Linked DNA regions of Arabidopsis thaliana. The protein of the gene in region 1 interacts with the protein of each later gene in a pairwise test. Each region holds a gene or a part of one and is shown in the gene's direction. Other genes may lie near its edges. The genes, in order: AT3G52070, AT5G07475 and AT1G74370.

Region 1 (2,725 bases):
TGAATTTTCTGGCGAAGAAATAGTCTAAACTCGAATTAGATCTCCGCAGAGAGTGAATCAGCTGCGGCGAGATCTCAGAGGCATCGTACGTGTGAGGATGACCACCAACACTACCGGTCCAATTAACACGTGTGAGTGTAAAGTGACTACATCCTTGAGGATCCTCAAGAGACAACAAAGTCGGAAAATAATGTTCTTCAGGGTAACAAGATTCAACATCAAGGCATGGTAATTTGAATTTCCTCCATAGCTTTCTCTCTTTGATCACCATTAGAGCATGACGTTTCGCTAATACGAAGAACTGAGATCCAACACGGAAGTCTTGGTACTGGATCTCAGGAAGCATCGCGTCGTCTCCTCTTGCGTTGTATCGTTTCAGAAGGAACGGTTCATCGGAGAGGATCTCGATGAAGCTTTGTTGATGATGATCGGAGAAGAGGTGGTTGTGGATGTAAGAGAAGGAATGGAGAGGGATACAGTGTTGTGAGATTAAAGCGAAATAGAGATTGTTAGGATCGTCGAGGATTGCGTTTGCTAGTAATCGTCGTTCGGCGGAGATTAACGTCGGAGAAGCTCGTGCGGTTCTTCTCGCCGGGATGAACTTAGCGTTGATTGATGAAGAATCGAGAAGAGGAGAGACGGAGGAGGTTGGATCTGCGTGGATGTAAACGTTGTAGAGATCTTGGTGACCTTGGAAGAAGCTTTCCCAGAGAGGTAAGAAGGTTAGATCGGAGTTTGTTAGGAAGAGGAAAGCGATCTTTGGGGGTGGATTTGGAGAGAGGGAGATGAGACGACGGTTGTTGTTGGTGGAGGAAGAGACGACGGCGCGGTGGAAGAGAGAGAGGTCGTCTAGGTCATCGGCGGTGGAAATGAGGGTAGAGGAAGAGAGAAGGATGTGTGGTGAGAGGATGAAGAGGAAGAAGAGAAGAGAAAGAGAGAGGAAGAGAGATAGAGAATAAACGAGTGTAGAAGATGAGAACATCTCTCTGTATACAACAACACAGAATTTCTCTGAGGAAGAAGAAGAAGAAGAAGAAGAAGATTGATTGAAATGAATGAGTTAGAAAAAATTCTGATGTGACAATAAAAAGGAAAAAGGGGAATAATGACGTCAGCAAAATGGGGACACGTGAAATTATTTTTAAAATTATTTGGGACAATCGACACAGTTGCTCTATCGCTATTTGTTTACGTGGGGCTGTTCTCTCTCTATTTATATAATAATGAGATACGGTTTTTTCAGCAACCAGATTTTAAAGTTATCTGATTAAATCTAATAATAGGATAGAGATAGAGTCACAGAGACATGTTGTTGACTTTATGACATTATTTTATTCTTTGCTTATCCACTCAGTCATCATTTATCTCACCAGTCAGACATAATGTGTTGTTGTTGTGAATTTGTAGATGCTTCCGACTATACCTGATTACCTGGCCATTCAGAATCGGTTTGGATCAAAAAATTTGGGTTTTCGGTTTAGAAATCGAAACAAACCGAATTAGTTGAAACGAACCGAATAGAAATTCGGCCAATTTGGTTTTGCATTGGCGTGTACCTTGTGACTACATGTGTGTGTGTTAGATGAGATCTATCCACCCATTTTTCAAATCATTTTTGTCGTTAAGCTATCAAGATTCTGATATTTTCCTGCTCACTTTTGATTCCCAAAACAAAAAACTTTCTTCAATTATTCTATTCATCTTCTCATGGCGGCTCTCTCCACCACCTTCTACTACCACCCACTCTGCACTAACCACCGTACAAAGAGACAAGCCTCAAGCAGACACGGAGTTAGATCTATGAGAGTGATGTCTTGTCGGAAGCAGAAATTACCAGAAGAGAATGAAGGAGTGATCCAGAGAACATTGAGAAGGATGATTTCAGAGGCTGGGAAGATTGGGAAGAATCTGAAGCCAGAGAAGAAGAAAGGAGACGTCAAGGACCTGATGCTTATGAGTCTCTCTTTTGCTGTTTATGTTTATATCTCTCAACTATTGGTTTGTGCTTACTTCTCCTGGCAACATCTCAGCTTCCCCAAATCTTCATGGTAGTAGCTAAGCTAGCTCCTCCTTGTAAATTCTGCACAAATCAGTAATAAGATAAGAAATTCAATTCCGACATAGGAGAATTGAGAGTTGTGATCTTTCACTTTGGTCTTATATAATTGAATTGTTAAGCTTCTCATACCTCTTTATCTGCTTTAACTCCGGCAGAAAAGGCAAACCAACCATTGCGATAACACTATCAACCAGTTAAGGCTCTTTGTTTTAGAGCCGAAAGGAGATGCAAGAGCCTCGGGCAGAGTCGCTGAGTATGCCTTGAAAACCAAAACTTTGACCGTAATTGTTAGAAAGAAAGAGAGATTCCTAACCATTTCGTATTGGCCTCCTCCAATTTATCCTCCTTAAACAGAGAGCCCCATCCATTTTCCTTCTGTGTGCTGCACCAAACCTTTCCTCCATAGTCATATCACTGCGAGCTTTTCCCTGTACAATCCAACCTCTAAGTCAGCTATAAGCAAAGAGCTTGGGATAAAAGCTTGGTTGTGGAGTGTTCAGGTAAGGAAACAAGAATCAGCAAATGATCTTAAAGAAAAAACGTTCCTCCTTTGTTTCATCAAATCCAACAACTTCAGCGTCATCTAACAATTCCGCTATAGATGGAACATTGGGAAAAAGAAGAGTTTCCATCTCTCCTATATGCTAAATTCCCAGCAAACATGCA
Region 2 (3,214 bases), on another chromosome or scaffold:
GACGACGTAACAGTCAGGTACATACGGTAAACTCCTCTCTTGTGCAGAATTCCCCATTTTGAATGTGCTTGAATCCTCACCTTTCTCCATTATTGGTATTTGAATTTGAGTGTTGAGAAATCGGTTAATATTGTGAAGGGATAACTAAAATGAAAGTGTGAGTGGCTCCTCTATATATAAGGTTTGTAGGCTTGTAGTCGTTTATTGATATTTCGGAGTTATATATTAAAATATGACGGTCGAATACTAAATTATTATTCTTCCTTTTTGGAATATCTAGAGCATGTGTAACTGTCAATTGTTTATCGTGTACCAATAAGAAACTAAACTTTATTATCAAAATGATAATATAATGAACATCCATATGTTGTACGAAATGTATAAGAATGTCCAAATTCATATATGACGAGGGATATTAATAAGATGTTGGGATATAGTAGGAAGTAGGAACACTAACATGGATTTAATTTTTAAATGGAGACTTCGATCTCATTCATAGTCCCAACTACTAAAAAACAAAAAGAAGCTTTCCGCAAAAAAGCATCCTCTTGTCCGGATTTCAAGCCTTCATAAATATGTTGGACACATATGTGAATGCATGTACAGATAAATTCGATATATATGTCGTTTGAGTTGTAACAATTCTGTAAAAATAATAATGAAATTGTTATATACGGTCATGCGTAAGGTCTAGGTAAAATGTATTGCGCCGGGTTCCTTCATGCAATGGGCATTTATCTTCCTTTGGGAAAGACAAAAAAATGTCTGATGTCACATTGTCACTGACATTAAAATGAGAATTTTCAATCATAATTTAACACAACTAGCAATTAAGAAATAATATTACATCGATTTTTCATCGAAATACAACTACCTAGCTTCTAGTGATATACAGTATTAGTACTATTTTTCGTTGGGTATATTAGTTAATTTATAAATACGTAATACGTAAATAAAAGTTGCAAACAAAATGTTCATCCTAGAAATTATATTTTAGGACAAAAAGAATTGTTTTCTTGTACATGTTTTAAAAATTCGACTATATTTTAACTTTTTATCCCAAAAGGCTAAACCATATATCTAGTATAATTTTTCGATCATACATGTTCTAGTTCTGATGCTCCAACAACTATAAAAAGTGTTACAAGGGAAATTCTCTGGACGCATATTATTAGGTAGGTTTGGTAAAGAGAAACACTCAGGATTAGTCGAGGAGTTATGGTTCAACACCCCTTCAATGCCAATTCCAAGCCCTCTGCAAGTATTTTCGAGAAAAGGAAAAGTACATAACAACTAATATCACCATTCCACAAGATCATATATAAATACAAGCATTATTTACTGGCCATTAAAATCTTCCCTATATTTGTATGTTGTGCAATCAAGAACAAAAAATAAATATGAATTACTGCTTCAATATCTCCATCAAGATTTAACCATTTTAGGGTTGTGGACTTTAACTAACAGCATATGAATCATATGAATTGTGAAACACGAAAAATTTGTTAAGAACAAAAAAAAGGCTATAGGGAACAAAGCAGATCATATATGTTGTGGTGGTTGTGAAGTTAGGTTATCCACCAATGAGCAACCTTAACCTATGCCTTATATAAAAACATATATATTTCCATAATTCCATTCACACATATGCATATAGACAACTATAGCAATACAAGAAAATTAAACGCAATTTATTGAGAAAATACAAACAGCGTGCACTATGAAGAAGACGTCGAAGATACAATTTCTTTTCAATCTCTGCATCATATTTGGGGTTGTAGTAATAAGAAGATGTAACGCAACGACATACTTTGTAGGAGACAGCTCCGGTTGGGACATAAGCTCCGATCTCGAGTCTTGGACTTCAGGCAAGCGATTCTCTCCTGGTGATGTTCTAAGTAAGTATCTTTGATCATGTTGGCTTCATCCAACTATATATATACTACATAATTAAAAACTCAAATTAATTTACAGTTTCCCTTAATGAACTAATTAGTCTAATTAATTATGTGTATAATGTTTTTGCAAGTGTTCCAATACTCATCGACGCATAGTGTATACGAAGTGGCTAAAGACAACTACCAAAATTGCAACACAACAGATGCGATCCGGACGTTCACAAACGGGAACACGACCGTTGCTCTTTCCAAACCGGGAAACCGGTTCTTTGTATGCGGTAATAGGCTCCATTGCTTCGCCGGTATGAGGTTACTAGTCAATGTTGAAGGCAATGGCCCATCTCAGGCTCCCGTGGGATCTCCCCAAGCCGCCACTTCAGGGATTCTTCAACCATCTTCTAAAAAGAATAACCCTGCGACCGGAGTCGCTAGCTCAGCCGCCCGTTTTGTTGGCGACAGCGGTTGGAGGGGTACCATGGGAATTTTTGTATATTTTATGGTTTTTGCTTTTCCATTCATATGGTTTTGCTGATTAAAAACTATCTATAATAAGTGTTTTCATGTATATGTGTATTCATATTTGCCCTATAATGAGTGAGAGTATTTATTTGTTGAATTTCTTTATTTTTGTTTGAGTTCATGACCAAATTAAAACCTAAATTTTTGGTTCGTTATACAAATTTCGTTTTGTTTGCTCAGCAAATTTCTTACAAAAATGACATGTAAACAACGTTATGCTTAAAGTTATTAATCAATCAATGTATAATAAAAAAAAAGGAATTAGATTCTTTGACTACATTGAATTTGTATTTGTTCGATTCGATAGCGGAAAATTCAAAAAATAACCGATATCGGTTTATATTTTAGGTAATTTTATCTGGTTCGGTGTAGTAAATTCACCGTTTGACCGTATCTATATCACAGATGATTCACTGCGATTAAAAGTTGTGGTTATCACTATCTAATCGTGATCGCTACCAAAACGCAAACGCTAGTTACCGGAAGACACGTCTTGAGTTTCGCAGCATCTCTCTCCTCTCCTCTGTTCATATCTCTCTTTAGAAATTTCTCAATGAACATACTCAACAGATTGGGTTTGGGATCAAGTGGGCAAACCAATATGGATCCTTCTCCGATCGCTCAGGGAAATGACGATGACACACCGGCGCCGGGGAATCAGTTTGCCCAATTCGGAGCTGGATGTTTCTGGGGTGTCGAGCTGGCGTTTCAGAGAGTCCCAGGGGTGACTCAGACCGAGGCTGGATACACCCAAGGGACCGTAGACAATCCTTCATACGGAGATGTTTGTTCTGGTA
Region 3 (3,518 bases), on another chromosome or scaffold:
GATACTTCTCTATCATCTCCTCATACCTATCAACCAAACCTTCCCAAAACCCGTGCAAATAGTATTGATTCTCCACAAACACTTTCTCCATCCATGTATCTTTCTGAGAAAGCAGGAGATAGATCAATGCTGACTGATCATCTGCCTCAAAAGCTGGTCTACCTTTCAGATAAGCCGTCAATACCTTCCCGGCCTCATCACGAATTGGCCCTTTAGGTCCCATAGGCGCCCAAGCATCTAACAAATCCAACGACCACTGACAATTCCTCAGCAGAAAACTACCTGTGTTCAAAGCAATCCACGACTTCTGATCGAACAACAAGTCCGGATAACCATGAATCACTAGATTATGCTTCTGATACCTAGCCAAAGGGATCTGAAACAGTATATCAGTGAACAAAGCATCACTATCCATCCACCAGATCCACTCAACTTCTGGATGAGACAACATCAACCTCCTAATCATTGGTAATTTTGCCCAATAGCCAGCGAGTTCCTTATCCAAATGAGCCATGTTATACACAATCTCAATTCCATGAAGCCTACAATAATCAATCTTGTTCTTCACAGATTTCAAAAGATAATGATCACCAATGGGGTTATCACAAGGCTTAGGAGGAGATCCTGTTAAAAGCAAGATTCGAGCTTTGCCATTGACAGTACTAGGAAACTCAGGATTCTGATTCAACCATACCTTACGTTGACTATCCCAATCCGTGATCTTAGGACCTAGAACATACGTCGCATTGGGATTCATATCACCTTCCTGAGGCTCATCCAAGTCGGTTGGATCCGAATCAGATCGGATCTCAGCTAGAATCCGGTTAGTCTCCTCAATGATGTTCTGGTTAACTGCATCGGCGCTTGAGCTTCCTAGGTTACCAACACCGATAGTGCCACGTAAGACGAGAATTGTGACGAAACCACAGAGAATTGTGATCTTGATGTTGTTAAACGTCTTCTGCATCTGTCTACCTCGAGGTAACAAACCACCACGACCACCTCTTCCTCCACCGTTGGTTAACGTCGTCGTCGGAAGTCCTCCGCCGCTTCCGGATGGTCTTTTATGCGCCGGCGAACCATCTTGACCCATTTTCTTCTTCAACGTCTCTCTCTATAGATTTCACTTACAGGTTTGCGACCATCAACTTTGTTTTCCTCAGATCAGTCTGAGTATGTTTCTGTCTCTCCGTACTTACTTATTCACGGATCTGAGAAAAAGTTCAGATCTTTAGCATGATTCCGATCGGGGAAAGAGAAAGAGAAAGATTTGTCGATCTGAAGAACCCTAATTTAAAAATGGAATTAAACCCAATAATGCGGAAACATTGTCATTACTTAAAAATATATTGTCGGAGGAAAATGCTTCGTTCGATCCAGAAAGCGCACAAGGAGAAGAAGAAACGCGTACAGCTCACTCTCACCGACAACTACTATTTTACTTTAACCGATTTCGGTAATAGAAAATTACGGAACTAAACCGGTAGTTTAATTTTGGCGGTATAGTGAAACGATGCGTTTTGGTAGTTAAACCTGAAAACAGAAACGGATAAGGTGAGGAAATCGGTGGGGGCGGCGGAAACATTGAAAGGCGTTTCAGAGTCACCATGTTTTACGACGCGTGTCTCTTTTTCAGCCGGTTTTCTTCTCGCTGGTTACATCAGAGCTTCGGAGATATTATATAACTCAACGACGTAGCTGTTGCATTTTTTGTTTTTGCAATGATCTTCATCTTCATGACCGGATAAACTCTTGTAAGTGTATTTCGTTTTCTGTAATTCTGTTAATGATTTCTTGGGTTTCATCAAGTTCGTTACTTTTTGTATGTTCTCGGTCCAATCTTTGGGGGTTGGATTGTAAATCTCATATCTGATTATGTAGTGTATGTGTGTGTGATTTTCTTGTTGCAGAGAGAAAGATTCAAAGTGATTATCTTTGTGGATCCCTCCATTGCTATGTGGAATTTAGCTTCAAAATCGATCAGAGAAGGTTTTATATCGAAGGGAGAAGAAGCTGCTACAAAACCAAGAAGAGCTACTTTAGATAGATCAGGAGATGGAAGAAAGACAACAAAGGAAGAAAAATTGGAGTGTCCCATTTGCTGGGAATCATTCAACGTTGTTGAGAATGTACCTTATGTCTTATGGTGTGGTCATACAATCTGCAAGTACTGTCTCTTAGGGCTTCAACGTGCCATTGTCATCAAATCCTCTGCTTTACCATTCCAGCTTCCCTTCTTCGTTGCTTGCCCTTGGTGCAATATTCTCTCTTTAAGGCTGGTTTGCAATGGAACCATCAGATTTCCTTCCAAGAACTTTTACCTTCTGTGGATGGTAGAAAGCATGAATGGCTCCAGATCGGAGGCACCCAGCGACAACAAAAGGGTTGCTTCAGGGCAGAGAGACTTGAGAAATAGGTGTGATGGAGTGAGTAATACCGCCTTGGGTGATGAAGGGTTGCTGGACAATCGCAGCTGGTGGAATGGTGTGACCAGAGGATTCTTCAGAACTGGGAGGCTCCATGACTCGGTACGTAAGTCAATGGCTCTTGTTGCTCATTTGTTGGCTAAGTTTCCTCTGGTAGTCATATTCCTGTTGATGGCTTTATATGCAATCCCTGTGAGTGCTGCAGTTCTCGGGGTTTATTTCTTTGTTACGTTTGCTTTGGCTGTCCCGTCGTTTCTCGTCCTTTATTTTGCCTTCCCGAGCTTAAACTGGCTGATCAGAGAGATTGCAACCTGACTCATTGTACTGTTTCTTTCTTCCTGTATGTTTCCTGACTTGTAAGAAACACGAGATAGAGCCAACGTTGTTTACACTCAATATAGACAAGAAGAAGAGAAGATCTTTATTTTCAGATTGTGTCTCTGTACATTGCGAACAAAACTACCTTTCTCTATCCCTATCTGTCTGATAACAATGAGGTTCTGTGTACAAGAAGAATCAGAAACAATGAAACGAAAAATGGTGAAGAAGAAAACTCTGTTGTTCTGTATAATAAATCTGAAAGAAGAAAAGAAAGAAAGATTTTTACATTTCTATGTAACCTTGTGAAGATAAGCCATTGAAGAGCTCTGCTTTACCGGATATCTTAACCAACATAGCTAGAACTTCTTTCATGTTTGGTCTTGCCTGAGGATGATCAGCTGTACACTTCACACCAATCTTTAGTAGCTCAGTCATTTGCTCAGCTCCGTTCCCTGGTTTGGTCCCTGACAGGGTTATTGGTGAACCTTTGGCTGTCATGTTACCTGTCATTACACGTCTTGCCCATTCGACCAAACACTCTTCTCCTCCATCAACAGCTCTTCTACCCGTCGCGAGTTCCATGGTCAATACTCCGTAGCTGTAAACATCTCCTCTTGTGGTGGCTTGCCAAGTTTGTCCATACTCGGGAGCTACATACCCGATTGTGCCTGCAATCACTGTGCTCACATGGCTATCTCCTACATTTAAGAGTCTTGCTAGTCCAAAATCCGTCACTCTCGCATTCCCGTGTTTATCCAAAAGAACGTTACT

Evidence for each region.
Region 2: the proteins of AT3G52070 (region 1) and AT5G07475 interact in a protein complementation assay, tested with the Arabidopsis thaliana proteins (one large-scale study listed by BioGRID).
Region 3: the proteins of AT3G52070 (region 1) and AT1G74370 interact in a protein complementation assay, tested with the Arabidopsis thaliana proteins (one large-scale study listed by BioGRID).

The regions. Positions count from the first base shown.
Region 1 is NC_003074.8:19,311,046-19,313,770, forward strand, and holds AT3G52070 (RNA/RNP complex-1-interacting phosphatase), read left to right. Parts: upstream 1-1,672; 5' UTR 1,673-1,707; coding exon 1,708-2,052; 3' UTR 2,053-2,179; downstream 2,180-2,725. Other genes in the region: AT3G52060 (core-2/I-branching beta-1,6-N-acetylglucosaminyltransferase family protein), read right to left, coding at 1-982; AT3G52075 (uncharacterized protein), read right to left, coding at 2,202-2,375.
Region 2 is NC_003076.8:2,364,043-2,367,256, reverse strand, and holds AT5G07475 (Cupredoxin superfamily protein), read left to right. Parts: upstream 1-1,651; 5' UTR 1,652-1,720; coding exon 1,721-1,898; intron 1,899-2,029; coding exon 2,030-2,430; 3' UTR 2,431-2,551; downstream 2,552-3,214. Other genes in the region: KUOX1 (KAR-UP oxidoreductase 1), read right to left, coding at 1-90; PMSR3 (peptidemethionine sulfoxide reductase 3), read left to right, coding at 2,971-3,214.
Region 3 is NC_003070.9:27,957,423-27,960,940, reverse strand, and holds AT1G74370 (RING/U-box superfamily protein), read left to right. Parts: upstream 1-1,540; 5' UTR 1,541-1,754; intron 1,755-1,910; 5' UTR 1,911-1,955; coding exon 1,956-2,741; 3' UTR 2,742-2,855; downstream 2,856-3,518. Other genes in the region: AT1G74385 (uncharacterized protein), read left to right, coding at 1-216; XXT5 (xyloglucan xylosyltransferase 5), read right to left, coding at 1-1,093; AT1G74360 (Leucine-rich repeat protein kinase family protein), read right to left, coding at 3,030-3,518.